Neurospora crassa OR74A: one gene and its partners. The protein of the gene in region 2 interacts with the protein of the main gene of each other region in a biochemical or structural test. Links are inferred from orthologs where the notes say so. Each region holds a gene or a part of one and is shown on either strand. Other genes may lie near its edges.

Region 1 (3,972 bases), on a different chromosome or scaffold from region 2:
AGACAGAAAGGGGAAAGAATGGAAGTACGAAAGGGTAAGAAAAGAAGGGGAAAAAAAGAAAGGGGAAAGAAAGACTAGAAGGGGAAAAGGAAAGAAAAAGGAACAAAAGAAAGGAAAAAAAAAAAAGAAGAGAAAGTAAAAAAAAGGGGGCAAAAGAAAACTCACATCCAAATCAGTATACTCATCCAACGCACTCAACCACTGCTGCTCCGTAAAGCCCTTGGCAATCACCCGTTCCTTGACCTTTCTCAAACTCATCTCCACCCCAAACTCATCTTCTTCTTCCTCTTCTGGGGTATCATCAGGTCTGCACGCTCCACTATCCGCCAACCCCTTCACAAGGTTATAAATCCTACTACTAGCATTCATTGCCCTCTTATTGCCAGTATTCCTATCATCCTGCGCCAACGACTCCTTGCTAGCTTCCACGAGACGGAGAGCTTCATCAACATCATCTTGCGTGACGGTGTTGCTGAACCTAAGCCGAGCCAAAGCCTGCGCAAGACGGACGACACCTAGCAAAGTACGCGGCGTGGTATGGCCAAAGTTCTGGTTCTTCTTCTCTGCGCGTTTCTGCTGTGCGCGCAGGCGGACGTAGGTTTTCACCATGTATTCGGAGACTGCTTGCGGGACGACGGGGCGGTACTCGCGGGCTTTGGCGACGTAGGCACGGACTTCCTCGGGGGAGAAGACGGATGAATCCGGTCCGGTGCCCGTGCCAATGTCGGGGTGGCGGTTGTGCATGTGCACGTAGGCGACGTGCTTGGCGAGTTGGGCGTCCGTGTCGCGCGTGGGCGTGTCGAGGAGGAGGAACATGATGTCGAAACGGGAGAGTAAAGCGGCGGGGAGGTTGATGTTCTCGACGGCCGAGAGACGGGTGTTGTACCGCCCGTAAAGCGGGTTGGCGGCCGCGAGGATGGAGGTGCGCGCGTTGAGAGTGGTGGAAATGCCGGCCTTGGAGATGGAGATGGTTTGTTGTTCCATGACTTCGTGGATGGCGGTGCGGTCGTTGTCGTCCATCTTGTCGAACTCGTCGATGCAGCAAATGCCGTTGTCGGCGAGCACGAGGGCGCCGCCTTCGAGAACCATTTCGTCTGTCACGGGGTCGCGCATTACGGCGGCGGTGAGACCAACGCCCGAGGAACCGCGGCCAGACGTATACACGCCGCGCGGGGCTACCTTGGAGATGTACTTGAGCAGTTGCGATTTGGCCACACCGGGGTCACCCATCAGGCAGATGTTGATGTCGCCGCGGATCTTCATGCCGTCGCCGACTTCCTTAGTGACACCGCCGACCAACAAAAGGAGGAGGGCCTTCTTGACGTCGAGGTGGCCGTAGATTTCGGGGGCGATGGACTTGGCGAGGTACTCGTACGTGTTGCCGGTCTGTTGGAATTTGGCGATACGGCGGAGCAGGGAGGGGTCGATCTGCATCTCGGTGTAGGCTTTCTTGTGCTGGACAATGTGGTGGGCCTCGAGGTAGGTGTCGGTTAGCAGACCGGCGCGCATGGCCTTGAAGCCGGTATAAGGAGTAGGGAGGAAAATTCCCGAGATGTCGACAATGTCACCGGGGTGGACATTTCTGACCAGACTGCCGTACGCAAGCACGGTAAGGGTACGGGGAATCTGACCGATGGGGACCTGCTCGGCGAGTTCCTGGATCTTGATCTCCTGGAAGGGCAGGAACTTGGAAGCCCGCGACGACGGGTACAGCTGACCTTTGGCCTGGTTCTCCTTGCAGTCCTTGGATGGGCAGAGAGTCAGGGGGGCGTACTGCTTGTCGGTGACGGGCTGGAAGATTTCGCAACCGCAGCGGTCGCACGTGTAGGCGCCAACCTGGACAATGGGCTTGACGTCGGACACACGGGTAGCAATACCGCGGATGGTGATCAGGTGGCCGAGATGATCGCCGCGCACTTGGCGGACCGACAGGGCTTTTTGGGGCCCATCAGCAGTCATGGTCCGGGGCTTGAAGACGAGGGTGTAGCGGCGGGTGAGCTGGGCGGGGTATGTGTCGTTGAGCATGTCGGGGTCGCGCAGGTTCTCGGCGGCCTCGGTGAGGGTGCGGTTGCGCTGTTGGCGGTTGGCCATGAGGACGTCGAGCACATCGTCCTTGAATGTGATGTCGTTGCTGGTTTGGGGCATCAGCTTGTCGACGGCGCGCGAGAGCACCTCGACGTAGTGCTTGGTGTTGCGCTCTACCGACTCAACCAGCTTGAGGCCCTCGTTGACGTCCTCCTCCCATGACTGCAGGTCGTCCAGGTCGATGACTATCTCGTTGATCTTGCGGTCGGCCAGTTCCTGGAGAAGCTCCTTGTACTTGTGGCGGGGGGCGCGTCTCCTCGCTCTTTCGGAGCGGCGCTGTTGCTGGGCATCGTCGTCGTCGTCGTCGTCCATAAAGTCATACTCGTCGCTGAGGTCGTCCTCGTTGATGTCGATGTTGCCTAGCGCATGGGTGATGGAGTCTTGGGGCGAGGTCTTGAAGTCGTCGAGAAAGTTTTCGAACGCGGCTGTTGTTCGAATCGTTGTGGTTAGCGCCCAGCCTGCCTCTTGCTTGCAATCCATCCTCCGCGCTTCGATCGAGAAGCCATCATCAAATCAAAGTTTTCCCTCGTCGTAATTGAAATTATTTAGTCACCACCTACACATTTGCGCGTCGTAGTCGACGGGGGCGGGGTATCTGAGGAGCGCCATGGTGAGAGATGTGGTGGGTGGGATAGTATGGCGCAACTCGGTGTGTGGTCAAAGGTCTGGCTGGGGATTGTTTTGGTTGTGTTGCGATGGGGAATTCGACTTTGTTTTGTTGGACGAAGGATGTCAACATTGATTGAATGGAGGAGCATGAAAGAGTGGGTCCTCTGTCCATTCAGTTGACTCCACTGTCGCGGTTCGAGTCGCGATGAGACGCGGTCCGGCAAAGGAATCTTTAATGGGCCAAGGTACTTACATGCATCCCTACCTCTACTCTAGACACTGGAGAATGCCCCTGGCAGGTGGCAGTGAGTGGCAGGAATGAGTTATACAGGAGGCGTGTCAGTGTTGTCCAGGAACATGATTATCGACTTGAGCCTCATAACATGTCAACCATAAGAGTGTGAAGTGAAGTACCATCTCATGGCATTGAGTTGCTGGAAACAGGTTATACTTCATATCCCACGTTCGTACTCATCTATACAGTTTCAATGCCTCAGATTTGGCCTCTTTCTCCAGTTTCCATCCGGATATCTTCTCCCTTCAACATGATGGCTTCTTGATGCTCATGTATTCCCCTAACAATTCCATGCGGCTGTACCTGCGCTGGGACATGCCCGAAACCCCCTGTACCAGGTCGTGGCGTGCCTCGGCACATGCAAACTGGGGACAGCTGGAGAAGCTCCAATCGGGCTCCAGCCGCGGCTCCAGGTTCTCCCCAATCAGCTGAAAACAACACCAATCATGCCCCTGGATCTCCGCCCAAGACAACAAGAACCCGGGGATTGATGGGGCGGATGGATTCCCGTTGTTCGGTGTAATTGTTAGACTAGTAGGTCGACTCAGCCAACTAAGCTACCTAGTGACCTTCGCTAGGTACGGTCAGGACCCTTTCATCTGTCATCTCATCATCGCCTATGCCAAACACCACGACGACAGCATCATCACCACCACCACCACCACCACCACCACCATAACAAGTAGTCGACACGGACGACGACGACGACGACGACGACGACGACGACAGCAGCCACCCACCATGGCTCCCAGAAAGAACGCGCAGTCTACCGCTGCCGAAATCTCCCTGGTCCATCTCCAAAACTGCTTCGTCAACCTGCCACCGTCACTGGCCTCCCTGCTCTCCAATGTCAACACGGTAAGACCCCCAGTCAGAAGAAGAACCATGGAATGCCACTGGAGACTAGCTGACACAGAACCACCCTCATGGATAGCCCGCCCAGAATGTCATCGTCGAGCTCAACTACCGCGTCCAGTCGACCC
Region 2 (4,153 bases):
ACCCTCCTGCACCGTTGACATGACGCTTCGTGACCTTCTCGTAACCGCAAGTAATATCACATACAACACTACCACCAAACAATCACAAGCTTTCTGCACAGCAGCAACACATTAGTCAATTAAAGCGCCCCTGCTACTACACCCCAAGGTATATACAACTTAAGCCTCAAACCTCTTGGCAACAGTCTTCCAGTTAATCACGTTCCAGATCGCCTCAAAGTACTCTGCCTTCCTGTTCTCATACTGCAAGTAGTACGCATGCTCCCACGCGTCAATGCCCAACAGGGGCACATAGTTACCAGTAACAGGGTCCTGGTTGGCACGGGTAATCAGCGCGAGCTTGCCGTTCGCAGCCTTATCCTTGGCCAACCACGCCCAACCCGAGCCCTGGATGCCGGCCAGCGCAGCATTCATCTGCTTGACGAAGCTCTCGAAAGAACCAAACTCGGTCGTGATGGCCTTGCCGAGAGCACCATCGGGTGAACCGCCACCCTCGCGCGAGGCGGGGGCCAGGTTCTCCCAGAACAAGGTGTGGTTGAGGTGGCCGCCGCCGTGGAAGTTGAGGAGAGGGGCGACCGAGGCGGCCTTGGTGAAGTCACCCTTGGACTCGGCCTCGGCAATGGTGGTCAGGGCCGAATTGAGGCCGTTGACGTAGGTCTGATGGTGCTTGGAGTGGTGGAGCTCCATGATCTTGGAGGAGATGTAGGGCTCAAGAGCGCCGTAGTCGTCTAGGGAAAGGAGAGTGAGTTAGCTTGGGGGGTTTTTCCTCAAAGCCGAAGCGGAGGGAGGATAGACTGAAATGAGGAGCGGGCATTGCAAAGCGAGCGAATGTTGGAGGAAAGAACTTACACTGAAGGTCGGGAAGAGTGGCCTTGCCGCGGACAAAGGTAGCGGCGGGCTTAACGGCGCTGGCGGCGCGCAGAGCGCTGCGGGCGACCGGAGTAGCGCGGAAGAGGGATGCGGACATTGTGACGGCTTGTTTATCGAGAGAAAGACTAGTAATTAGGTGAAGTGGTTAGGTCTTGAAGTGCGAGAAGAGGAAAATTAGATGATCAATGGGACGGCGGCTACCTCAGAGTAAGTGAATTGGCCGACTGATTGCGACTATCGGAAATGTCTCTTTCCATTTACTTATCTAATAAGCTCGGATGATGATGGAAGCTCCATGGAAACCGTTCCAACTAATTCCGTCATAGCCCCACCCCGCCGAGGGGAAGAGGTGGGTACCTCTATGGCTCGTGTGGCTGAAAGTGGAACAAGGAGCCGTCTCTGAGTGGTGAGTAAGCCACAGTGTTAATTGCGGTCTCTTGGCATGGCGGCGCTCTTCCTCTGTCGCGTCTCCCACTTCCAGAGCGCGTCTCCCCAGAACCTTGATTGATCTCGAAATCCTGGCGAAAACTTGGTTTGGGTCAGTTGTCCAACTCAACACTGTCCAACTCATCTCCAAACGCCAGGCTGGTCCAATTGAAGCTACCAAAATCACCACCATGTCATATTACGATATCGATGCGATCCTGACTGACGCAGAGGTACCCTCCATCTCCCTCCCCCACCATATCATCACCCAACGCCAAAACACCAACTAACCCGACGATCCTCCCCAGAAAATTCCTTGTACCTTTCAAATCGACGTCCCCGACCTTGGCTATCTCGACAACCAACCGGGGCACACCCTTAAGTCCGGCTCGCGCGTCGCTCTCCCCATCTGGCTGGCTGAAATGCTCGCCATCGCTAATACGGGCGCCGTCGACATGGACGACCCATCACAGTCCAGCAAATCCTTCATCACCTTCGACCTGCCCCCGGCACTGGGTAACGACGTTGTCCAAGCTTTGAAAGCCGACCCGCGCTCCGTGCCGCTGCGCGATCAGAGCGCCCACTTCTACGCCCTCGCCACGCACATGATGGAGTTGTCAGAGGAGCCGGAGCTGAGCGCAGTGTTAAGGAAAACGTTTGTCTCGAGGGCGGCGGAGATTGCGTTGCATGCTAGGAAGGTGGGTGGGGGCGGAAGTTCGTATCATGGTCGAGATGGCGGAGGAGCCGGAGGAAAGGGCAAGGGGAAGGCGACGAAGGACGATAATGCCAGCAATTTGGGCGTGGGAGGCGCTGGTGAGGACTTTTTGAGAGGGTTGGATGAGTGGGAGAGGAAGCTGTTTAGGAGTGCACATGATGGGACGAAGGCGAGCAAGGAGTGGATGGAGAATGTCAAGAAGAGGTGAGTGGAGTGGTACTGTTGGAGCGTTGTTGCTACCGCTGGCGCCCGATCGGTCTTTACCTCGCAACGAACCAGCGCTTCGGTTCAAGCATCCTCCATGATTCTCGGACTGCGCTCGATGCAGTATATAACAACAGGCCACCGGCGACCTCCCAAGTTCATTTACCATGACGAAGCTGTGGATCAGTCATTATCACGGCTCGAGAGCATCGGGATACCACGAAGGAGACAGGATTCTTGGGGGTTTAGTTGTGTCACCCTCCCCTGGAAGTATGGCGGACTTGGACTGCTATCGCCGGATGAGTATCCTACGCATCGCTGATCTTCACAGAGTTGTGCTGTCAGCGGCACAGCAGACCATCTGGCCTAATAATGAGGAAGACTCATGAGATATTAAGAGGACATGAGGTTCGGCACTCTCTGTTAACTCGGACTTCGTCAATTGGTGGGTGACTAGCGAGCGACATCGGATCCTTCATTTGGGTATACCACTATTTCGTCCATCACGGTCTATGGAATATTTAACAAGATAGCCGAAGCTCAAATTGGCTTGGCCGACGACTAGCCACCACCCTCACCCGCGGGACACTCTGGAGCGATCAACATGCCTCTCCTCCTTCTTAGACTCAGTTGCAGCAGACATGGCCCTTCTCACACGCCTCTTCTCCCGATTTTTCCTCCTCTCCTCACGGCTCAGCCTATTCTCCCCGTCCTTTTTGGCACGGCGGTTGAGACTCATAAGCATACCAACCTCGCCGTCAACCTCGTCAACATCTTCAGGCTCGACAGACACAGGCACAGGTTCAGAACGGCCAAAGATCTTGCTCAAAAGACTACCCAGTCCGAGCCCCTGTCCCTTTTCTGTTGCTGCATCCGGGTGGGAAGAGCCGGTGGGCACAGTGCCGTTGGATGCGGCAGCGGGAAGGACAGTACTATTCGAGCTGCGGCCAGCGAGAGGACCAGGGATGGTGGGCGTGTTGTGGTGATTGAAGATCTTGTGAAGGAGATCGCCAAGTCCAAGGGATCCGTGGTCTCCTTTGGTTGCCGCGTCTGGATGGGAGGCACCGCCAAGGATAGTGCCGTTGGAAACACCAGCAGGGGTTACGGTGCTATTTGAGGCCCGGATATTGAGAGTAATGGCGGTGGACGTATCATGGCGGCCGAAGAGGTTATGCAACAGACCACCTAGGCCAAGCCCCCCTTCCTTTTTGTCCGTCGAGTCAGGATGGGAGGAGCCAACAGTGCCATTGGAAGCCGGAGCGGAAGCAGGAGCGGTGAAGTTCGAGCTGCGGGCTTTGAGAACCGCGCTACCGGATGGCGCATCTTCTGTGATGAGGGAGGGGGTCGTCAGTGCTTAGAGCTTCCGGTATCTTGAGCTTGGTACTCGAGACTTACTCAGCGATCGCAAGGTGTAAAGGAGATCTTCAACATGAAAGGCAGAGACTATGTTGCAGGCAAGGAGAATGGTAATAGTGAAGTTGGCGAAGAAGCGGAGAGAGAGCGGATGACGCATGGCTCCTGATTGGGCTTGTACTCGCAGAAACAGGTGAGTCTAGCAAGCGAGGGCCGATGCGGAGATGGGTGTATGCTACGCCTAGAAAGAAAATAACAGCGGTCGGAAACCAGCCCGAGAGAGAACGAATGAAAGAATAAGAGAAGTTGAGAAAGACGACAATGACAAGTACAACATCAATGACGATTATAAGTTATTGCAGCAGTATATATGCCTTTCTTCCCCTTGATCGGTCTCTCCAACCCCATCAACAAGTCTAACAGGCGCGGCCCCGGCATCACGAACGGTCATAGGATCCTCTAGCTCCAGTCCCAGCCTTACCCTTTTGCCCCGTTTTCGACTCGCTCGAATGCCTCGCTGCCGTGCTCACCATTGACACGCGTTGACGTGGACAATTTTGCCGCCGGGCGTCCCAAATTTGGGTT
Region 3 (3,935 bases), on a different chromosome or scaffold from region 2:
TTTTGAGGGGGAGTTGGTTAGTTTGGGGTTCATCTTCGTGTGGATTGACAGACGGGGAAAAACTCACAAGGACGTCGTTGGCCTGCTGGGCACTCTCGGGCTTGTCTTCGAGATACATGGAGAGCAAATGGCGGGCCAGACGCTGATCATTCTTCTCATCAACACGATCGAGGATGAGGTAGACCAGATCGAAACGGGATAGAAGGGTTGGCGGGAGGTCAATATTTTGCGGCACTGATAGATCAGGGTTGTATCTACTACCAATGGGGTTGGCAGACGCCAGGATTGATGTTCGGGCATTGAGAGTGGTGATGATGCCGGCCTTGGCGACGGACACGGTCTGTTGTTCCATGACTTCGTGAAGAACGGAGCGGGTCGATTCGTTCATCTTGTCGAACTCGTCGATACAACAGACACCGCCGTCGGATAAGACGAGAGCACCGGACTCTAGAACGAGTTGGCGGGACTCGGGATCGCGGGTAACATAGGCGGTAAGACCTACGGCAGAAGAACCTTTACCACTCGTGTACACACCTCTTGGGGCGATTCTGTGAACATAGGAGAGAAGCTGGGACTTGGAAGTGGATGGGTCACCACAGAGGAGAACGTTGATGTCTCCACGGTATTTGGGGCTTCCACCCTTCTCAAAGGTCTTGTTCGTGCCTCCGAACAGTTGAAGAAGAATACCCTTCTTCACATCATCCATCTCGTAAATTGATGGAGCCAAAGAACGTGAAAGGAGATCGTAGATATCCGGTCGAGCGGCAGTTTCCTTGATCCTCTCTTCCTCATCAGGAGAGACCTTTCGGACTTCGTCCATGCTCTGGCCATTAGCATGGGCTTCCTCCTCCTCGGCAAGGTCGAGGGTCGAGGGATCAGAACCCATCCTCTTGCGGTCGACCTTTTGTACATGGACAACATCAACATATGTCTTGTGCACGCTCTTGACCGTCCTCATGCGCGGGTTGACACGAACGGGGGTGACTTTAAAGATACCAGTGAGCTCAACTCTGTCACCGGCCTTGCAAAAGTCCACAAGCTCGTTATAGACGCAAACGGATACCGAGTGGGGTGTCTGACCAGCAGGCACGTTATCCGGAGTTTCTTGCAGCTTGATGACTTGCTTGTCTTCGAAAGCACATCTGTTGTGGATGATCTGCATTGAGTTCTTGGAGGCGCAGCGAGCCCGAGGACACTCTGTAGGCTCACGAATCTTGCCACGATCTAACTGAACGGTTATAGAATGACCACAAACACTGCACTTGAAAAATGCATCCTTCATGTCGGGGATGACCGGCGTGGTTCTGATGACAAGACCCTTGATGGACACAAGCTTGTCCATGTCAGATGGGTTGAGGTCACGGAGGTTGGTGATCTTGTCAAGACCCCACGGGCGAACCACATACGCCATCTGGCTGACTTGGTCCTCAATTGTGGGCGCCGCTGTTTGGGCAGGCCGCGGGGTGGGCGGTTCCTCGCTCCTTTCAGAGCTTGGGAAGTTCGGCTCCGAGCTTTGTGAGGCACCTGGAGCGGTCCTAGAGTTTTGGGATGCTCTTTGGCTGGCCATTTCCTTTTGCGCCAACTCCATCATACAGTCATGTACGCATTGATCCATGACCGGGATGATTTCGGTAGGATAGTGTTGGGCCTGATGCCATAACTTCAAGGTGCGCGGGTAGGACTTGAGGTCGCGGAGATCCAGATACAGCTTGTTGGTACCAAGCAGCAGCATATTCTCCAGTGCCTCCCAATATGGCTTCGAATCCGCATCCGGATGGCCAATAGTCTCGGCCTCGTCCGCGCCATCTGCCCACATCCGGTATTTCCTGGTGAAGTTCCTGAGAAAGTCCTTGAACGCGGAGAACGAATCGTCAAGAGAAATTGTTGTACCCCAAACAAGACCTTGGCTTTGTCCACCAAGGGCATCTGCCTCAGAGGTATTGGGGTTATTGGTGACAAACGAGTTGGCATCGGAGCCAGGGGCATCGCGGATCACACGACCGGCGTCGTCGAGGATGATTCGGCGGGGAATCTGGGCGGGAGTACGAAGAGGGTCCCCGTTGATGTCGCCTCGACGGGATCGACCGGCAACGGACCTTTGCGAGCTGACGAAGAGCTGACTGCTTTCGCTACGAAGATCGGACTGTTGAGTAAGCTGACGGCCCGGGCTAGAACTGGAGGCATAGCGGATGGGAGAGGAGTCTGCGGAGTGTGGTCAGCATTCAGTGTAGTCCTTTTTTTTTTTTTTTTGGTTGACAGCCATACCCCCAATTAACTGGCTCCGTCCGTTTGCGCGAGGAGTTCGGTCAGCATCGCTCTGGGTCTCTGTCTGCTGGCGCAAAGGCGAGCTCGGCGCATTGCCTTGGTGGGCAGTGCTCTGGGTATTGCTCATCTGCCTCAAGGGAGAAGATACCGGGGCGGCGCCATTGGCAGGCGAGGAGGGCTCGTAGAATAAGGGACTAGAGGCAAGCTGTGATGCGCGTGTCTGGCGAGGAGTTGCGCTCGAAGGACCAGCCTGCGAGCTGCGAGTAGTGCGGGGAGTAGCTGATTGGGAGCTTCTCGTTGTTCTGCGCTTTGCTGGGGAAGACATGTTTACTACTCTGTCCTCGGTGGTTTTGTTGAGATAATACAAAGTATGGAAACTAAACCAACAAGAAGGGACAGAAGACGGGCAGGTTGGGATGGAGACGCTGGAGTGTTGTTGTGGCGGCTCCCGATCCCTCTGTAATTGCGAGGTGGTTGGCAGGTCGGCAGCGTGTTCAGGACGGGCAAGGTGGATCACGTTCCTATCGAAAAAAAAGACAGTCGCGACACACGCGTCTCTGATAAAAGCACTTTACACGGCCGTTCGTGTCTGCGGGGGCTTACTCGCGTTGACCCATTAAAACCCCTGTCATACCCAAATGAGACGGACGAGGCCACTGCAGTGCTGCTCTTGAGTGCGAACTGTCAGGTACGTAAGGTACGTACCGCGCCGTGGGGCCTCGCTTGGAGTGTTCGCTCTGGATTCAAGCCACATCACAGGGACCGCTTCACCCCACAATACCCACGCTCACCACGGTAACCAACGATACCGCCTGCCCCTGGTCATTGTGAGCACTACCTACCTACGCAGCACCTCTGGAGTTCAAGCTAACCACTATATACCTACCCACTTGCGCCCATTGAAGTCGAGTTGCCCCTCGTCGCCGACCTTCTCCAACCGATACCAGTCTCGAGACAGCAATTGATCAAGAAACAAGAACCCCCAGATAACCAGTCAAGATGTCGCCAGGAATGTCGCTGTATAGCGTCAACGCTATAGGTACACTAGGCACCACGCTGCTCCTGGGTCCTGGCTTATACGCGCCACGTCGAGCAATGTTGACAATTGCGTTCCAACAGTAATCCTCTCCAGCGATGACGGTTCGCGGATATTCTCAAAATACTACACTCCTCCTCACGCTGCCGCTGGCGCACCAGGAACAGGAGTGGCCGCCGGACTCGGTACGCAATAGACGCTCCTTTTACCCCTTATTCGGTGTCGCATGTTCCCGTAAGGCTGACCAGCCCGAACCTTGTGCACAACAGCTTCCTCGAGCGCTTCCCAGAACCCCTATCCCGACAAGACTTCTCAAACCCGTTTCGAGAAGGGCCTCCTTCAGAAGACAGCTAAGCAGACGGGCGATATCCTCCTCTACGACAACAAGGTGGTGCTTTACAAGATGGAGTCGGACGTTGCTATCTACGTCGTTGGTAGCGCGGACGAGAACGAAGTTCTGCTCTACAACGTACTTTTGGCGCTTAGGGACAGCTTGCATATGCTCTTCAAGTGAGTATTTATGGCGAACGTGAAGGTGCCGGTCATGGGACATGATTTGGCTAACCACGGACTTTCTACTCAGGCAATCGATCGACAAGCGCACGATAGTCGAAAACTACGATCTGGTATCCCT
Region 4 (4,288 bases), on a different chromosome or scaffold from region 2:
AGATCCGAGTCGTCGTCACTATCTTCCTCGTTGTCCTCCTCCTCGTCCTCATCGCCGCCGGCGTCGGACTTGGCTTTCTTTTTCTCTTCTTTTTCCTTTCTCTTGGCCTCCTTCTTCTCGGCCTTGATCTTTTCCTTGATCCTTCTCTGCATCTCCTTGGCTTTAGCTTTGGCCTCTTTTTCTTCGGCTCGCTTCTTGGCCGATTCACGATCGAGAAACTTTGTGTCTGGCCCACCGCCGCCACCAGTACCGACGACAACATACACTCCGCGCTTGTCATCTAGACTAGCCACTACGAGAGGTGTGCCACGACCGCCATGGGCGAGCCTCCCGCCAGTGGCTTCTTTTTCCTGTTCCGCGAGTGCTTCACCGATCCAGAGCGCTAGCTTGGTCAAAGCGCCGGGGTGGTTGAAGAGTGTCGCATCTGGTGAGTCCTTGACCACGCACATGCGAAATGCGCGCAGATGAGATATTTGTTTCTTCTTCAAAATTGTCGTGCCAGTGGTGAAGATGGCCTTGTGTAGATACTGCGCCGTGGGAAGGCCAGCCTTAAGGGCCTCGATGTCCTCCAGCGCATCATACGCCTCCCAGAACCTGGGGATCCACTCCTCACTTTGGCTCTGGTTGTTGTCTACGTCGAGAAGATCCTGAGATGGGCCAGCAGGAAGGTCATCAGCACTAGTGGTGTTCTTCCCCACTTCCAACAGGGCTCCGACTACGACACCGACATCTTGCGCACTCAGGGTTGCCCTCCAACCCCAACTGCGTACAAAGCCCCATCCATCTTTGGCACCTCCACGATCTTTCCCGTCCGTGTCTATGGTCGGGACAAGTTCGTCGAGGTTGTAGAGAGACGCGTATTTTAGTAGTTTGGTGCGAAGTTCGCGCTTCAACATCATGTCCATGTGGGCATAACTCTGCTTGCACTGCACCAGACTGACACCCATCTTGGCGAGAAGCTTGTGTAATCGCTTCATGCCAGCCTCGCTCCACGTCTTTAGCCGAGAGAAGAGGTAGGGTGAGTGAAGCATGCTGTCGTATAAACTCCAGTGCCTAATAAGCAGGAACTTGGGCTCCGGCGACAACCTGATACTGGTATCCTCCGGACTTCGAGCGGTTGTTGGGATAATTCCTGTCGTCTCGGGGAGCACCCGGCCGTTTCCTATCTCTGGTGGGTTGAGACGTCTGACCTCGTCTCGCAGAAGCTGCCGTATTCTCGCACCACGCATGCCGAGCCAACCGGAAATGCGGGCGTCTGACCTGCGAGCTGCTACCGCAATACCGGCAGATGAGCGGCCGTACAGCTCCATCGACGTGACCCCAACGATCGCTAACCATAGCAGGTCGTTGTCTTCACGACCCAGTTCTGACGCAAGGGAGTACATCATGGACGAGATGGGCTCCGAATATGATGTACCCAGTCGGTAGTACTCGCGCAAAACTCCCTCGTTTTCTCGTCGTAGTCGTAGCAATCTCCGTCGGAGGGTGTTGGCTGAAGGGCCTCTGGGTGGTTGTGCAGCAGGCGGAGCTTCCAGCGCGTCACTGGAAAATAGGGCATCGTCGCGTAGAGATATGAGACCACGGTGTTGCGGTCGTCGAGGCGAATCTGGAATTGGACTCGACTGTATCTGGCATGAGAGATGTATTACTATGAAGAAATCGGAATGTACTCACCGAATTGCTTCTTCGTCGCTGTCTGGGTCGGTCGTCTTCATCATCGTCCTCGTCGAAGTCCGACCATGATTTCCTCTTTCTGCCTGCAACAACCGATGTATCGCCCGTGTCTTCCTCGTTCTCGCTTTCGTCTTCATCACTGTCGCCCAAGTCTCGGCCATCATCTTCGATTTCGGGCATATCCACTAGCGCCAGATACGCATCTCGTTCCTTGGAGAGCTCATCTTCAATGTCGCCGTCATCCATGACAATGATGCCGCCTTTGCCTGGTTTGTATGCTCGCTCTATCCGGCCGCCATTGACACCAATGGGGGTTCGCGCAGAGAATGTCCTGGCCTCTTGCGTCTCTGGTTCGAGGGGAAAGCCGCCGAAAACGTTGCCCAAGTTCCACGGGCGATGGGAGTCGATCACCCACACCTCTACACCCCCAAAGGTATTTTCTTCGCCCTCGGGCTCAAGTCCCAAAACTGTGCCGAGGTCAACCATACCACCCACTCCCAAGCATACGACGACTCCTCCAGCACCACCACGGGTCTCCATCATGGGGCTGACGAGCTCAGTGCCGGCACGTTCGAGGTCGGAGTAGCCAGCGACTGGCTGGATCTTGTGCGGAATATAGTCATGTTTGAGAAGTTGGGTTAGGATACGGCAGGCACATAGCGCATCGGTTTCGAGAGCGACCAAGATGAGGACGGGCGGCGATAGTGGATGGCGGGTATTTTGCAAGTGGAGGTAGAGTTTTGATATAAGCTGTCGAGGGAGATACATTGCGAAGGGAGAATCGGTATCGAGGGTGGATCAGCGAGGGAAATCGGCTGGGGACGGATTGTCGAGGCGGGGCGGCGAGGCGACGTCGTCGTGGGATATTCGCCGGCGTGGAACACTTCAGTTGTAGTTTACTCGAGGTAACTAACTTCGAACTCTGTTCACTGGGCAGAAAAAAAACCGACGGGGGATGCGCGACGCGGCCTGCCCCGCGTTAAGAGCTTTCTGCTCTGGACTATGTAGCTTGAAATATACGATGGCAAAAAAATACTGGTGTGATGGCGATGCACGTCAGTCGGATAGTGTTGTCGCGGTCGACAATAATTCGGGCGAGGGATGATGGTGTTGATAGGAGTGTTCCTTTGTTGATGTTGGCCAGGATCCTTTAATTGACATGGAAGGGCGGCCAACCAGCGCTGCGCTTCGGACGCGCTTCGAGACGCGACTCTGTGAAAGTGGTTTTGTGCCAGGGCGGGCACAGCGTGCATTACTTAGATATCAACCACTGCAGTGGACTGCAGGGGGGGCGTCAGCACAAAGCGTGCAGTGAAAGGACGCGGCCGGAGCGACCAGTTTGCTTGTACCTAGAGGTACCTCTACGTACTTGTAGTGGGGCTTTGGGTTTTGGGCAGGCAAGACGGGAGGTACCTATTGTAGAGCTGGGTAAAGTACCTACCTACCTACTGCGTACAGTAGTATATCAAGAAATGGCGGGGTACAACGCGAAGTGGAATTGCCCAGGGCAGCTGCTGACAGCCAAGGCCACAGGGGCACCCCGGGGCGGCCATCCCTCGACCGAAGCACGGGCATTGGTACAGTAAGTAGGTAGGTAATAAGGTAAACCAGGTAGGTACATCATAGCCCGGCAAATGCCTGCCCAGAGGACAACGGAACAACGGCCAGTAAGGTTCCTGCACGACAGCAATGCGATAGAAGCTTCCACTTCTGCAACTTGTCCACCTGGTCGAACGTGGAATTTCACGAGAATTTCTGCCGGCCGATGTCCCTGGATTTTAGTGAACTCTTTAGTTGCCGTGGAATCATCTGAGAACACTGTCACCGTGGGGCTGCCCAACAGCTGGAACTGAACTAATTTATCAACCTGGGTGACCAGCTGTGCTCTTTCCACTCCATCTCCTACCATAGCATAGGTAGGTGTCCAGACAGGCATCGATGTCCCACAGAAAGGTCCGCGGTGAAGGAACGGACCGGGGATGATGAACTATTCCGAAATTGCAGAGTGCGGATTGAAGTACAATACCTAGCACAGGAAGGGACCATCTAACGATGTGCTTTCCAATCCTGGATTCCGGATCAGCGTCTCCGGATTTCCGATTCGACCTATAATCCAGCTTCCATCTTCGCTTCTCTTCCTCTGTTTAGTTTGGTCCCTCTTTTGTCAATCCACATTTCCATCATTGCTTGGATCACAACACAACAACTGCCGCACACCAGACACCACTCACAACACTGGCCATCCACCACGACACCCACACCACGCCCCGTCTCGTCGGCGACAGTCTCAATTTCACTCCATCCGTGCTACTACAGTAGCCAGCCGGCCTGCCAAGCCAGCCACGACGGCGGCCACTCTTGCGGCCCACGCTTTTCTACGGTCAACCTGACCGCTCCTCTGCCTTCACTGACCAAAGCAGGAAGGAGGCTGTTCAGAGGAACTGACTGATGGTTGGGCCCAGCAACGAGGTGATCGACACGCTTCTCAAAACACTTGTGGTTTGTAAGTTGCCCTGGGGTGCGTCTACCGTGTAGTAGTGTACACTAGAGTCAAGCATGGAAGCGACCCGGGGACTTGGGCAGGTAGCCAGCCAGACCTTGCCAGATATACGCT
Region 5 (4,218 bases), on a different chromosome or scaffold from region 2:
GAGAATACTAAACTGCAGCAAGATCATCGAATGTGTGTCTTCTAGCTGGCCGTTGAAAACTGTGACAGACAAAATATCTACCATGTCAGACCCAAATAAAATTGGAAGAGCCCCCCTTACGCCCATTGCCATGAAACCCCATATTGTACTTGTTAACCTGTACACCCAAAGAAAAATAAAATAGCAGAGCAAGAACGCTTCGGTTTTGCTTTTCTTTTCTCTTTTTTTCGTCGGAACATCTTCGAAAAACACTCCGTCATTTCCCCACCATCCCTTCTACGCGCCATTCCTATAAACCTGCGCGCCCTGGTTCCTAAACATAATGGTATCCCGCCTCTGCAACATCATCAGCGCCCTATTCAGCGCCACCTCGCTAAACCCTTTACCCTCCACCATTTCCCTGCGCAGGGTCGCCAAGCTGGTGCTCCAGCCGATGGGCAAGCGGCGCTTCAGCTCGGCCTCGACGCGGGACGTCTCCTCGTTCAACTCCCGATTGCTGCCCGTGCTGCCACCTTGGTTGACGGCGTCCATGGTCGAGCACAGGAATAGCCGGATGGCCTCGTCCACGTGCTTCTCCGTCGCGACGGGCGAGAGCGTCAGCTTGGCGAGCGACTCGGTGATGCGCACAATGGCTTCGAGCTGGCGGACCGTGATGGGAATCGAGGAGCGCGCGTTGGCTTCAAGCTCTGAGGCGTGCACTTGCTTGCGGATGGCGACGAAGTGCGAGGAGAGCTTCTCGGCGGCTTCCGGAGAGAGGCGCGGGGCGCAGCGGCTGGAGGAGCGACAATGTCAGTTTTTATGTGTCTAAGGTGGTAGATAGGAGCATAAACAACTTACGATCGGCAATAGCTGATGTACCGCCTCATCTTCTCGACCGGGATCTCTGCCTCAATCCGCTCCTCGACACCACGACCACCCATATGGATACCCATAACGTGCTTGGCGATGCGCTCATCACGGCCGCGCTCGTGCTCATCCTTGACGATGAAGATCATGTCGAAACGCGACAAGATGGTGGTCTGAAAGTCGATGTTCTCGCCCGGGGTCTTCATGTCGTCGTAGCGGCCAAAGATGGGGTTAGCGGCGGCCAAGACCGAAGTTCGAGCATTGAGGATCGTGGTGATGCCGGCCTTGGCGATGGAAATGGTTTGTTGCTCCATAGCTTCGTGTATTGCCACTCTGTCCTCATCGCGCATCTTGTCGAACTCATCGATACAGACGACACCGCCGTCAGCGAGAACCATGGCACCGCCTTCGAGGTAGAACTCGCGCGTGGAAGCGTCACGCTGGACGGAAGCCGTCAAACCGGCGGCGGAGGAACCCTTGCCGGAGGTGTAGATGGCGATAGGAGCGACTTTTTCGACGAACTTGAGCAGTTGTGACTTGGCCGTACCGGGATCACCAAGCATGAGGACGTTGATATCACCACGAAGCCTCATGCCATCTGGAAGGATCTTCTTGGAGCCACCCATGAGTAAACAGAGGATAGCCTTTTTGATATCCTTATTTCCATAGATGGACGGCGCGATGCATTCGGCCATGACATTGTAGAGATCTGGACGACGGCTAAGCTCAAGGAACTCCTGCTCTTCCTCCTCGGAAAAGACAGCCAGACCCTTGGCTGTTTGGTCAATGTCTGTCTGGATACCGACTGCGCGGAGATAGGGTGTGCGAATGGCGACGGCGCCGCTTGTGGACTTCTTGTTGCCTCCACTTTGGTATATAGAAAAAATACCCATGACGGTACACCTTGAGCCGGGCACCACGCGGTTCGTGAGGTAGCGGTCGGCGGAAATCAGGACATGGCGGGGCAGTTCACCGACGGGAACTTGGTCTGGAGCTTCCTGAAGCTTGATAATTTGCTGATCGACGAATCTGGACTTTTCATGTTGTACAAAGTAGGGATCCATTGGGCACTTCTCGCCAGGGTCCCCAGGTGCCCTGATTCTGCCACATGTCCTGGGAAGGGTAGCGCCACTGAAGCCGCCGGATACGTGAACGTGTTGGACGTGGCCGCAGTTGCGGCACTGGACGTGGAGCTCAGTCGCCTTGGACGACATTACCGAGGCACCAATGACGATACCAGGTACCCGGACCAGCCGGGAGATTGTAAGGGAGTCGAGGTTACGGATAGAAACATCTTCGGCGTTGGAGTGTAGAAGCAGTTGGTGGTCGGGCAGGTCTATCTTGGGTTCGTTTGGGAAGACGATTCGGTGTGTGCAGCGCTTCAGAGCGGCCTCGAACAGAGGGATAATCTCGGCGGGTTCGGTGACTAGTCTATGGGCAATTTCTTCATTGAATTTGATCAAGTCGCCAATGTTGACATCGCAGTAGTATTTCTTTAGAAGGGCATTTTCTCGTAGTTGGTCTCTGGAAGGAGTAATGTTAACAGGAAGCTCGACAGAGGACAGGAGTATGCTACACAGAGTACGAACCTGTAGATAAAGCTGTTATCTAGTCGGAAGTCGAGAATGAAAGCCTCGAGCTGGGCGCGAATGTGCTGGTTGCTGTCCTCCTCTGGTACATATGAAGAAGCAGCGCCGGCGTAGGTCCGGGCTGAGAAGACGGACTGATAATCCATAGCTGACGGTGGCTTGGTATGTGATTGTTTTGTTTACTCGCGTGCACTGGCCGTAGATGTTCGCACCGGGAGAATTGTAGAAAATAGCAGAGAAGGGAGGGGTTGTTGGGGGCAGAAAGACAACTAACAGAGGGAGAATCCAAAATGGCAAAACATGTGCGAAAACCGCGACGCGAGAAACATTGATACTGCACACCCAAGACGCGATTTTTGGCAGGGGTTTTAATGGGCACCCCACTTGTAGCTGAATGGCAGGTACCTGACGGCTCAGCAGGCAGGCCCCCTGAAGTGCGGAGGAAAAGGAGTGCTTAAAAGGATATCCAGCTAGGGGGGGTTCACCCTCCAGACACTTTTGCAGCAACCGGTGCAAGACCCAGCTTTGTGGCCCGCTCAAATACATACCACAGTATACTTACTGCGTAGGTAATCATCAGTGGCGGGCGGAGCTTCATTCAACTGCGCTACGTATCCCGAACAAGGGTCCTGTGGGATCCAATGCCCGCTGCGTGGCTTCCGCTGTGAATTGGGGGGACCTTGACATTCGACAGGCAGCTCCGAGTCCCTGACCTCAACACCTGCTCGCGTCGAGACTACAGCTTTGCGCCTCTTCTTGGCCATCTTCTGTGGAAAATACAATCTGGTTCTTGTCTTGTTCTCGTTTCGCTATGATACCCCCGTGACCCTTCGCAGTAACCGCCCATACTCTGGACCACGATAGCCTCAACGCCACCTACCTTGGTTGCTTCCCTTGGCCTGCCGGCCCGCGCCTACAGCTCGATAGACTAATACCGATTACCGAACCCCCTCCCCATCTTCCCACGTCGCCAATCCACCGGCGCATGACCAACGGCCATTTCGTCTTCCCCTGAGCTTAGGCCTAGGACTTCCGGGAGACTTATGAGCCATCATGTTCTCCAACCAGGGTGCTCGCAAGTCGGTCGATAGTCTTTCGCCAATACCCGATGCCGGGCGGTTTGGCGACTTTCCTTTCCACGGGTGCGATGCGCTTTGTCTGTCCATGCCCTTTCCGTAATATACACTAACATCTCCTTGAAGGAGAGGCTCACGCAGTCCGAGCCGCCCGTTCCATTCTCGACGGGATTCGACGGCGGGCTCCATACACTCCATCGGTGGCTCTCTCGACAGTTCCACTGGTACCTGGGGTGACGCCGTCCTAGAGTCCGGTCAGAACGCCATCTCAACCCTGCTCCAACCGCCCATAGTCCGAACCGGCCTCCTTCCCCATACCTCAGCACCCGCTTCCACTGCGCATAAGCCTCCGACTGCTCGAGACATTCCACCTGTCACGCTCACCAATGTCCCTCGCATTGACAATTCCGAATTCACACAATATCTCACCCAAGTCGGCGCGTTATACGAACAATTACGACGGGTTCAGGCAGACGAAGAAGAGGCATCTGGTACTCACAGCAGACGAGGTAGCAAGGCGGACGCAACCTCAGCCGAGGATGGCCACCTACGACCGGGCAAACGATCTGGCGCATCCAGGAGGGCATCCAGCTCATCCATTACGTCCATATCATCGATAGAAGCCCCGGGTCCCGCTCGACGCAGCTCAAGCTACAGGAAAGCGGCATCGCAAGGTCCTCCACCATTATCCACCATTCCCGTGGTAT
Region 6 (4,217 bases), on a different chromosome or scaffold from region 2:
CGGCAGAAGGCTTCGGAGATGCGGATGATGGCTTCCAAGTGACGGACCTAAGGTGGTGGTGGGTGAGGTTAGCAGTTGTTATTGTGTTGTATTTTGTGACGGAGGAAGAAAGAAAAAAAAAAAAAAAAAAAAAAAAAAAAAAAAAAAAAAAAAAAAAAAAAAGGAAAAAGGAAAGAGGGAAGAACTTACAGTAATAGGATAAGCCCCCGTCGCCAAACTCTCCCTTCTCATATCCGCAAACAGCCTCGCCACCTTATCCTCATCCATGTGATACAACTTTGGCTGGCACCGCTCTCGGGCATAAAGGATATACTTCCTCAACAGCTCTTGTGGGATTTCGCCCTCTTTTTTACGGCCGTGTTCACCAGTTTGTTGGGTTTCCGCAGCAGCTTGGGTATCGTGTTCAACCTCCATGGAGTCACCACCGCTAGCGTCCTGCGTGTTGTTGTTCATCAACGGATGACTCCTCGAATGCGACCCGACAATGAAGCGCGCCAGCCGCTCATCTTCTTCAGGCTCGACTGTGTCGCGCACGACGCAAAGGATGTCGAAACGAGACAGAATCGGCTCGGTAAGCTCCACGTTGGCAGAAAAGGGAATGGTAGAGTTGTACCGCCCGCCAATAGGGTTAGCAGCGGCGATGATTCCGCACCGGGCTTGCAGGGTCGTGACGATACCGGCTTTGGAGATAGAGATGGTCTGCTGCTCCATGGCTTCGTGGATGGACGTGCGGTCCTGGTCGTTCATCTTGTCGAACTCGTCGATCAGGCAGGTGCCCTTGTCGGCGAGGACGAGGGCGCCGCCCTCGAGAGTCCATTCGGACGTGAGCGGGTCGCGCCGGACGGAAGCCGTCAGACCGACGGCGGAAGCACCCTGGCCGGTGGCGAAGACGGCGCGGTGGGCCGTCTTTTCGGCGTACTTGAGTACTTGTGATTTGGCGGTACCGGGGTCGCCGAGGAGCAGCACGTTGATGTCACCGCGGATGTGGTGGGCGCCGACTTGCTTGGCGACGCCGCCGAAGAGGGAGAGGGCGACGGCGGTCTTGATGTCGGTGTGTCCGTAGATGGAAGGGGCGACGGAGTTGATGATCTTGTCGACAATGTGCGGGTCGCGCGAGAGACGGCGAATCTCGTGCTCGTCTTCCTCGGTCATGCGGAAGCCGGCGAGCTGGTCGTGGGATTTGACAATGTTGTTGGCTTCGAGGATGGTGGCGAAGACGGGGAAGCCGTTGCGGTTGTTGAGCTGCGCGTCGTAGTTGTTGCGGTAGATGCCCGTTACTTCGATCTCCTCGCCCGGCTTGGCCTTGTCGATCAGGTCCCAGAGGAGAATGACCTCGCGGTGACGGGGCAGACGACCGGCGGGAACGGTGCCGGGGGATTCTTGGAGGGTGAGCTTTTGGTAGTTGCGGTAGACGGTCTTCTCGGAGTTAAGGGTGAAGGGGCCACGAGACTGGCAGGACTGGCAGTAAGAGATCTTGACTTCGACGTTGGACTCTTGCTGGAAGGGACCGAGAGTGACGCCGCACTTGGTGCAGTCGAACTTGACATACTTGAGCTGGGGGAAGACACCGGTGCGGCGGGTGACGACACCGCTCACGCGCACAAGACAGTTGAGGTGCGACTGGCGGAGCTGACGGAGGGTATAATGGATAGGAAGGTCGAAGATACGGACGTGGATCTCGGCGTGAATGCGCTCGTAGTCGGGGTAATGGAGAAGGACGACTTCCATGGCAACCTCGTCGAAGAGCTTGAGCATCTCGGTTGGCGCATTGGCGAGGAAGTATGCGAGAATGGCCTTGGCTGTAGCGAGGTGCTCGTAGGAGACCTCGAGAGACTCGGCGTTGATCTCACCAAGAGTACGGATGCGGTTGCCGTAGACGGACGAACCGCTCTCGTCGGTGTATTCTGTGAGGAAAGCCTTGAACTCTCTGCGGATGGTCTTTTGTACAGCCGGGACTGAGATCCATTCGCTCAAAGTGGCAGCCTTGACATCCATCAGGGCCTCGAGGGGAAGTTCCGAGTCCATAATGTCGCCATCCATATCGACATCGGGGTCTTCATTGTAGCGGATTCTTCGGCGGCGTTCCAGGTTGGTAAGGTCGATATCACCATCGTCGTCATCACCAGGAAGATACGTGGTGCCCATTCCCATCCTCACTTGACGGTCTCTCTGGGCCAACTTGGCTTCAAGACGGCGCCTTGCGGCGGGGTCGAGGGCCTCATACTCGTCATCGTCGATGTCAATTCCTTCGTAGGCGTCGTTTTCGTCTCGTTCCCTATAATCGCGCTCGAAGCCTTCGCGGAACAAATCTACATCGTCTTCGGCCAACTCGTCGAGGTCGTCAATGTCGTCTTCGATTTCAGCGGCGACGTCTTCCTCGATGTCGTCGTCCTCATCTGCGCCATGGGCAACTGGGAAGGCGGGAGGAGAAGAGGGCATGACAGGGCTCGAAGCGCGGGGAAGCGAGGAAGCACCATCGTGATCGTTACGCGCACGCTTGCGAGTGGCCCTGGGAACGGCGCCACGGTTGGCAGAGGACGGGTTGTCGCGAAGCGGGGAACTGGTATTGGAGAGTTTCCGTTAATTCACTGTTTACTTGCGAAGAGAAGCCGTGACAGACGAAAGAGCAAGAGGCACACATACCTCATGATTGCGACTTGGCTGAGGGTATCTCAGAGGACTGTAGCCAGCTACAGATGGAAGAAACAAGAGAGTGGAGGATGCTGGCCTAGTTGTTACTATGGAGAATGAATGCCAGCCAGAAAGAGGATATGTTGCGGGGTGAGACAGAGAGAGAGAAGGGGGGGGGGGGGGGGAGGGGAATGGAGACAAACAGCGTCGAGGAACCACTGAATGAATGTTGCCCTTCGTTGCGGCGACCTTGTCCCTGCTTTTTTCTCGCGTTGCAGTCCAGGGAAGACGCGCCAGACGTGATGCGCTAAGCCGGATAAGGGCGGTCGCGTTAAGTGGTTGCTGAGGTTTAATGGGCTTGGCAATGCGTACCGGACCCACTTGGTGCTGCTCTTACACGCCAATTCGACTCGTCGAGATTCCCAAAAAGTCACAAAAGCTCAAAGTCCAGTGAACAATGACGAGCAAAGCATGAGCTATAAGGTGCTACATACTACAGGGCCATGTTATTGATCGGATCACGTTCAAATAGGTTTCCTTGAACCCAATTCCAATCTGTGCTGCTTGGACATATAGACCACAGTGCCTTACACCAAACCAAGGGTACATTGCAAGCTCGGTCCTTCTCCCCACGCTTCCACCAACGCGCCCTCCTCCTCCTCCTCCCCCTCCTCCTCCTCCTCTTCGCGCCCCAGCAATTGTTTTTTGTTTTAAAGACTTCCGGACAGAACCCATCTTTCGTGATCCAGCACCATCTCGAGGCATTTGTCTTATCAACAATTTTGATAGACCACCGACCATCCAAGATTGACCGTGAAAGCATCCATCACCCATGGACCCTCAACCGGCGCAACAGCCCGCCGAGGCCACTCCAGATGGCCATGGAGCTCCAGCACCAGTCGCGCTCACCAAGACTCGTACTGAAAGCTTCTCCGCCAAGTCAGAAAACTCTCAGACTGCCGCAGAGTATGTTGTCATATATTGGACTTACCACATGACAAAGTACTAACCATGGTCTAGCTTCATCCGCGACCAAATGCAACTAGAGGCCGACGCTCGCGAAGCTCTTCCATACGTGCGTGTCCCTTGTCTTCTCTGCCCTTTTCCTTAAAGTCAATCCTAACCTCCCACCAGAGCATCGAAACCTGCACCAAGCCCCTCGGCCCCCTCCGCCAGGCCGTCTTCTCCTGCCTGACCTGCAACCCACCACCCGCCGACCCGAAAGCGCCCTACAATGCGGCCGGCATCTGCTACTCCTGCTCCGTCCAGTGTCACGGCGAGCACACTCTCGTCGAGATCTTTGCCAAGCGCAACTTCACCTGCGACTGCGGTACCACACGCTTCCCGCCCACGAGCCCGTGCAACCTGCGCATCAATGAGGAGACGGGCACCAAGGGCGGCGTGCACTCGGAGGAACCAGATGTCAACAACAAGTACAACCATAACTTCCGGAATCGGTTCTGCGGCTGCGAGTGCGATTATGACCCGTTTGAGCAGAAGGGGACCATGTTTCAATGTCTGGGCCTAGGCACGGCAGAAACGGGTGGTTGTGGGGAGGATTGGTACCATCCTGGGTGCATCGTGGG
Region 7 (4,165 bases), on a different chromosome or scaffold from region 2:
GTCGACGTTGAGGTTGGCGGCTCCGGAGGCGAGTTCTTCTTCGTCGTCTTGGTTCTGAGCGGTGCGACGAGATGATCGTTGGGAGCGAGTGGAGCGAAGTTGCGAGGCGGGAAGGGAAGAGGCGAAGGATGGTTGTGAGTCGCCGGTTGTGCGAGCAGATCTTGTTGAGCGGCGCGGGGTGGCGTCGTAGATGTCTTCTTCCTCTTCTTCTGCTCCTTGGGTTTCTTCTTCCTCTCTGGGAGTGCCGTTGGCGTTTGCTGCGGAGGAGGAGGAAGCGCCATTGGCGGGAGTGCGTCGGCTGGCGCGTTGGGAAGCGCGGGAAGCGCGAGAAGCTCTGGCAGCGCTGGAGCGGGCTGTGGTGGTTTGAGTTGCCACGTCGTCGTCATCGTCATCAGAGTCGTCAGAGTCGGAGGACATGCCATCCTCGCCCTCGGCGGGTCGGGTCTTTCTGCGCTTCTTGCGCGACTCGTCCTGGACCACCTCCTTGAAAAGGGCAAAGCGGAGGATGGACTCGGCAGCGGCGGCGTCACGCTCCTCGACGCGGTTGGACAGGCGTGCCTTGGCGTGGGCGGTGGCCAGACGGATGAGCGTCTCGAGCGTACGGACCGTCATGGGCGACGTCTTGCGCTGGTTGCCCTCCATGTCGTCGTTGCGCAGGCCCACGTAGATGTCAGCAATGCGGTCGGAAGCCTCCTGCGTCAGTACCGGCTTGATGCGCGTTTTGGCGTATTGAATATACTTCTTCATGAAGGGGATACTGAGGATCTCGGGCTTCTTGTTGGCAGACCCGCGGCCGCTGGGCACCTTGATTCCGGCATGCAGCATGGCGTCGTACTTCTCCCACATCTCGGTGGGCTTTTGGGACTCGGATTGCCCGTTGAGGGCGACGTTGAGGGCCTGACCGGCGTTCTCGCGCACAGGAGCACCCTCCTCGGTGCCGGGTTGGCGGTAGCGGTGCATGCGAAGGACGTGCTCGGATACCTGTCGGTCACGGGTGTCCTCGATGTCGTCGGTGACTACGAAGAGAAGATCGAAACGCGACAGGAGGGAGTCGGGCAAGGCGATGTTCTTGTGAGGATCCTTGTGGGTGTCGTACTGTCCAAAGATAGGGTTGGCCGCGGCGATAACACTGCAACGGGCGTTAAGGGAGGTGTGAATACCGGCCTTGGCAATGGTAACAGTTTGCTGTTCCATGACTTCGTGGATGGCAACACGATCGATGTCTGACATCTTGTCGAACTCATCAATACAGACGACGCCACGGTCAGCCATAACCATGGCACCAGCCTCCAGACGACGCTCGCCAGTCTCCTTATCGGATGTGACAGCAGCAGTCAAACCAACACCGGAAGAACCACGACCAGTCGTGGCAATAGCCAATGGAGCAGTGTTGAGGACGAAACGAAGGAGCTGCGACTTGGCGGTGGAAGGATCACCGACCATCAGGATGTTGATGTCACCTCTCAAATGTGTACCGTTCTCCAGGTTCTTCTCCATGCCGCCCAGCAGCATAAGCAGGATAGCCTTCTTGATGTAGTCATGTCCGTAGATACTGGGAGCCAGTGACTGTGAAAGCAACTCGAAAACTTTTGGCTTCTTGGAAATCTTGTTGATATTGCGAATATCGGTGTCGGTAATGGTAGCTGTAGCCACACCACCACCCGACTTGGAGGACAGCAGGACGATGTTGTTGGCCAGAATGACCGTCTTGAACAGGGCGCTATTGTGGTTTGTGTTTCTGTTACCCAACGTCCGGAAAATACCGACGAGCTGGATACGGTCGCCAGGCTTGACGCGGTCTACCAGGTCATCGTCGAGAATCACATCGACGCCTCGGGGCAGCTGACCAGCAGGTGCCCTCTCCGGCATTTCCTGGATGGAAATGGTCTGGTGATCGCGGTAGGTCGAAAAGCCGTATTCGGTCTCGAGCGGGTTGCCCTCCTCGTCTTCGCGCGGGTAGACGCTGTTGGTGACAATGCCGTTCGTCATGGTCTGGTCGCGGTACTCGCGGTAGTGGAATGTCTTCTTGGCTTCGCTGTAGTGTACACTCTTGACAACCTTGGGGCGGATCAGGGACGTCCTTGTTACGATGCCCTCGATCGAGACCATATTGTTGAGGTGTTGGGAGGACAGTGTCCTGGGGTTGCAGGTGTGTAGACCAAAGCTGCCAGCCCAGGCACAATAGTATAAGACGTCGGGGTCTATTTGATCGGGGCGGGCCTGGGGGACGGTGCTGACGATAGTCTTGAGCGCATGGTTGAAGGCGAGGGTCCAGTTGAAGGGATCGGTAAGTAGACCCTCGGCTACCTCAGAGCTGTGATCGCGGACATGATCGATATTGACGACGAGTCTCCTCTGGTTCTTCTGGAGCATCAACACAATGTCTGGTCTGTAGCTTCGCTGGTGCTGGTCATCTGTAGATAAGGTTCGCCATTAGTTTCGTTCCATGCTTCGGTCGTGAACAAAGGGCCAGCATCAGCTTCAAGCTTCGACGTACGAGGATCGAGGAACTCCTGGGCCTGGCGCACACGGTCGCGTACGGCCTCGTCGCGGAGGGCGTTGTAATCCATCTTGAAGGTATTAATCCAAAGAACAACTCTTCAAGCCAGTGTCACAGACGGGAAACAAAGGTAACACGGGTTCGGACGCGGAGTAAGGCTAGTCGTTGTGGCCTCCGTTCTTGTCGTCCAAAAAGATTGCTGGAGAAGAATGAAAGAGTCGCCGATGTTTTGTTTTGGCGCATGCGCTTCACCTTGCGGAGCCGCCATGGAAAAGTGACAAAACGAAACGATACGATTTTAAGTGGAAAACGCGTCGACGACACGCGAGTCGCGCTAAACCCCTTGCTTCAGGCAGGGGGCTTAATTGATACAAGCGGGGCTGTACCTGATACCGTCATTACCCATAATTGCCATCAAGAAGCGTGTAATTTCCAGTATCTAACCACCTACACCAGACCTCGGCCCTCCAGACTTCCACTCAGTGTAGTTTCCAGGTTACATTTACTATCGATAACAAAACTTCCACGAAGATTGTACATACATTCCAGGTCAATTTGCACATGCTTGATCTCTTCTAACTTGTACCTCTCGGCCTTTTCAACTTGACCAGCGTCCATGTCTGGCTCGACAGTGTCTTCAAGACCTCGGTACTCCGCATGGCCTTTGATCCTCAGCGAGCAAGCCCACGTTGTGTTGCCCCGAAAACGAGAAGAGAAAGAACAACAACCTCAAGGCGGCCGAAACCTCAGTAGTGTTGTTGGTCACTAGCGTGTGTACCTCACATACATGTGTGCCTCCCAGCCTTTAAATTACAAGTTCATACTTCGTAGTTGTGCTATGCTTCGTGTTAGCAGTTGAAGTATGACCATAGGACAACATCTGTTGGGTCCTGTTAAGTGGACGACATGGGTGAAACAAAGTGATTGTTACCAAAGTGTAAAATGGAAAGAAGCCACGAGTGTCTAAAAGTTACTCGATCCACTCTTTGGAGTCTCTAACCCATAAGCCAACGCAGGGCTTTCGCAGCTTCACTGGTACCAATGTTACTTATGAGCCTAAGCGCCCAAGTACTCGAGCAAAACCGACCCCAGTCGGGTGATGATTCTCGACGGCTCCAAGCGCGAGCCAGAGTGTGCCATCCTGAGCTCCCCATGATCATTGTCTCCCCTGCTGCGTCGTTCACATGCTACATCAACTTTCAACGGTCCGATAGACGTTGCTCCTAGCCGGCGATTACTGCCCCACATCCGTTCTTCTCACGGCAGTCAGGTTTGAGGTTCCGCTCAACAACTGCAACGGCTGAATACATCCTTTGGTTCCTTGATTTTCCCGTGGTTTTCGTACCCGACTAGAGCCCATCACCATCGGGATCCCATCGGGATCCTACCGTGAAATGTGTTGTGTTTGTTGTTTCGACTTCCCGACTGTTCACTTGAGCCGTCATTGCCCGCTTGCAGACATGGCTATGGCAAGTTACATATGGTCATCAACTTTATGCCGTTTGCCATTAGCCTCATACAGCATCAACTCTCTCCTGCGGTTCTGGTCGTACGATTTCTTCGAAGGCGGGACGAAAACCACCCTTATCGTCAACGAGCTGTGCTGTTGTGGTCCATGTCGTACAGCTCCATCATGTAGACACGGTAATCGGTTCCCGGTAGACT

What was found.
Region 1: the proteins of NCU09561 (region 2) and NCU08119 form a complex in vitro, tested with the Saccharomyces cerevisiae proteins (2 studies listed by BioGRID). The link is inferred for Neurospora crassa OR74A from reciprocal best matches to the Saccharomyces cerevisiae genes PSF3 and MCM7.
Region 3: the proteins of NCU09561 (region 2) and NCU02539 form a complex in vitro, tested with the Saccharomyces cerevisiae proteins (2 studies listed by BioGRID). The link is inferred for Neurospora crassa OR74A from reciprocal best matches to the Saccharomyces cerevisiae genes PSF3 and MCM4.
Region 4: the proteins of NCU09561 (region 2) and NCU04378 form a complex in vitro, tested with the Saccharomyces cerevisiae proteins (2 studies listed by BioGRID). The link is inferred for Neurospora crassa OR74A from reciprocal best matches to the Saccharomyces cerevisiae genes PSF3 and CDC45.
Region 5: the proteins of NCU09561 (region 2) and NCU01171 form a complex in vitro, tested with the Saccharomyces cerevisiae proteins (2 studies listed by BioGRID). The link is inferred for Neurospora crassa OR74A from reciprocal best matches to the Saccharomyces cerevisiae genes PSF3 and MCM5.
Region 6: the proteins of NCU09561 (region 2) and NCU04327 form a complex in vitro, tested with the Saccharomyces cerevisiae proteins (2 studies listed by BioGRID). The link is inferred for Neurospora crassa OR74A from reciprocal best matches to the Saccharomyces cerevisiae genes PSF3 and MCM2.
Region 7: the proteins of NCU09561 (region 2) and NCU08009 form a complex in vitro, tested with the Saccharomyces cerevisiae proteins (3 studies listed by BioGRID). The link is inferred for Neurospora crassa OR74A from reciprocal best matches to the Saccharomyces cerevisiae genes PSF3 and MCM3.

The regions. Positions count from the first base shown.
Region 1 is NC_026501.1:338,887-342,858, reverse strand, and holds the start of NCU08119 (DNA replication licensing factor mcm7), read right to left. Parts: upstream 2,801-3,972; 5' UTR 2,695-2,800; coding exon 2,646-2,694; intron 2,511-2,645; coding exon 166-2,510; intron 1-165. Other genes in the region: pex1 (peroxisome biosynthesis protein), read left to right, coding at 3,731-3,847, 3,924-3,972. UniProt on the Saccharomyces cerevisiae protein: Acts as a component of the MCM2-7 complex (MCM complex) which is the putative replicative helicase essential for 'once per cell cycle' DNA replication initiation and elongation in eukaryotic cells.
Region 2 is NC_026507.1:995,840-999,992, reverse strand, and holds NCU09561 (DNA replication complex GINS protein psf-3), read left to right. Parts: upstream 1-1,353; 5' UTR 1,354-1,487; coding exon 1,488-1,529; intron 1,530-1,604; coding exon 1,605-2,219; 3' UTR 2,220-2,789; coding exon of another isoform or gene 2,790-3,541; 3' UTR 3,542-3,610; coding exon of another isoform or gene 3,611-3,728; 3' UTR 3,729-3,927; downstream 3,928-4,153. Other genes in the region: NCU09560 (superoxide dismutase), read right to left, coding at 160-728, 850-995, 1,072-1,127; NCU09562 (hypothetical protein), read right to left, coding at 2,790-3,541, 3,611-3,728. UniProt on the Saccharomyces cerevisiae protein: Functions as part of the GINS complex which plays an essential role in the initiation of DNA replication by binding to DNA replication origins and facilitating the assembly of the DNA replication machinery.
Region 3 is NC_026501.1:2,664,377-2,668,311, reverse strand, and holds the start of NCU02539 (cell division control protein 54), read right to left. Parts: upstream 2,801-3,935; 5' UTR 2,591-2,800; coding exon 2,266-2,590; intron 2,203-2,265; coding exon 68-2,202; intron 1-67. Other genes in the region: NCU02538 (coatomer zeta subunit), read left to right, coding at 3,265-3,304, 3,385-3,486, 3,571-3,811, 3,885-3,935. UniProt on the Saccharomyces cerevisiae protein: Acts as a component of the MCM2-7 complex (MCM complex) which is the putative replicative helicase essential for 'once per cell cycle' DNA replication initiation and elongation in eukaryotic cells.
Region 4 is NC_026504.1:3,568,033-3,572,320, forward strand, and holds the start of NCU04378 (DNA replication initiation factor Cdc45), read right to left. Parts: upstream 2,801-4,288; 5' UTR 2,443-2,800; coding exon 1,675-2,442; intron 1,623-1,674; coding exon 1-1,622. UniProt on the Saccharomyces cerevisiae protein: Required for initiation of chromosomal DNA replication. Acts at the origin of replication. Also has a role in minichromosome maintenance.
Region 5 is NC_026505.1:3,119,120-3,123,337, forward strand, and holds the start of NCU01171 (DNA replication licensing factor mcm5), read right to left. Parts: upstream 2,801-4,218; 5' UTR 2,582-2,800; coding exon 2,436-2,581; intron 2,371-2,435; coding exon 838-2,370; intron 773-837; coding exon 277-772; 3' UTR 1-276. Other genes in the region: NCU01172 (GARP complex component), read left to right, coding at 3,489-3,577, 3,638-4,218. UniProt on the Saccharomyces cerevisiae protein: Acts as a component of the MCM2-7 complex (MCM complex) which is the putative replicative helicase essential for 'once per cell cycle' DNA replication initiation and elongation in eukaryotic cells.
Region 6 is NC_026505.1:5,630,912-5,635,128, forward strand, and holds the start of NCU04327 (DNA replication licensing factor mcm2), read right to left. Parts: upstream 2,801-4,217; 5' UTR 2,649-2,800; coding exon 2,644-2,648; intron 2,561-2,643; coding exon 190-2,560; intron 48-189; coding exon 1-47. Other genes in the region: NCU04328 (metaphase-anaphase transition protein), read left to right, coding at 3,464-3,597, 3,652-3,706, 3,766-4,217. UniProt on the Saccharomyces cerevisiae protein: Acts as a component of the MCM2-7 complex (MCM complex) which is the putative replicative helicase essential for 'once per cell cycle' DNA replication initiation and elongation in eukaryotic cells.
Region 7 is NC_026504.1:3,901,905-3,906,069, forward strand, and holds the start of NCU08009 (DNA replication licensing factor mcm3), read right to left. Parts: upstream 2,801-4,165; 5' UTR 2,571-2,800; coding exon 2,498-2,570; intron 2,415-2,497; coding exon 1-2,414. Other genes in the region: NCU16827 (hypothetical protein), read left to right, coding at 3,895-4,165. UniProt on the Saccharomyces cerevisiae protein: Acts as a component of the MCM2-7 complex (MCM complex) which is the putative replicative helicase essential for 'once per cell cycle' DNA replication initiation and elongation in eukaryotic cells.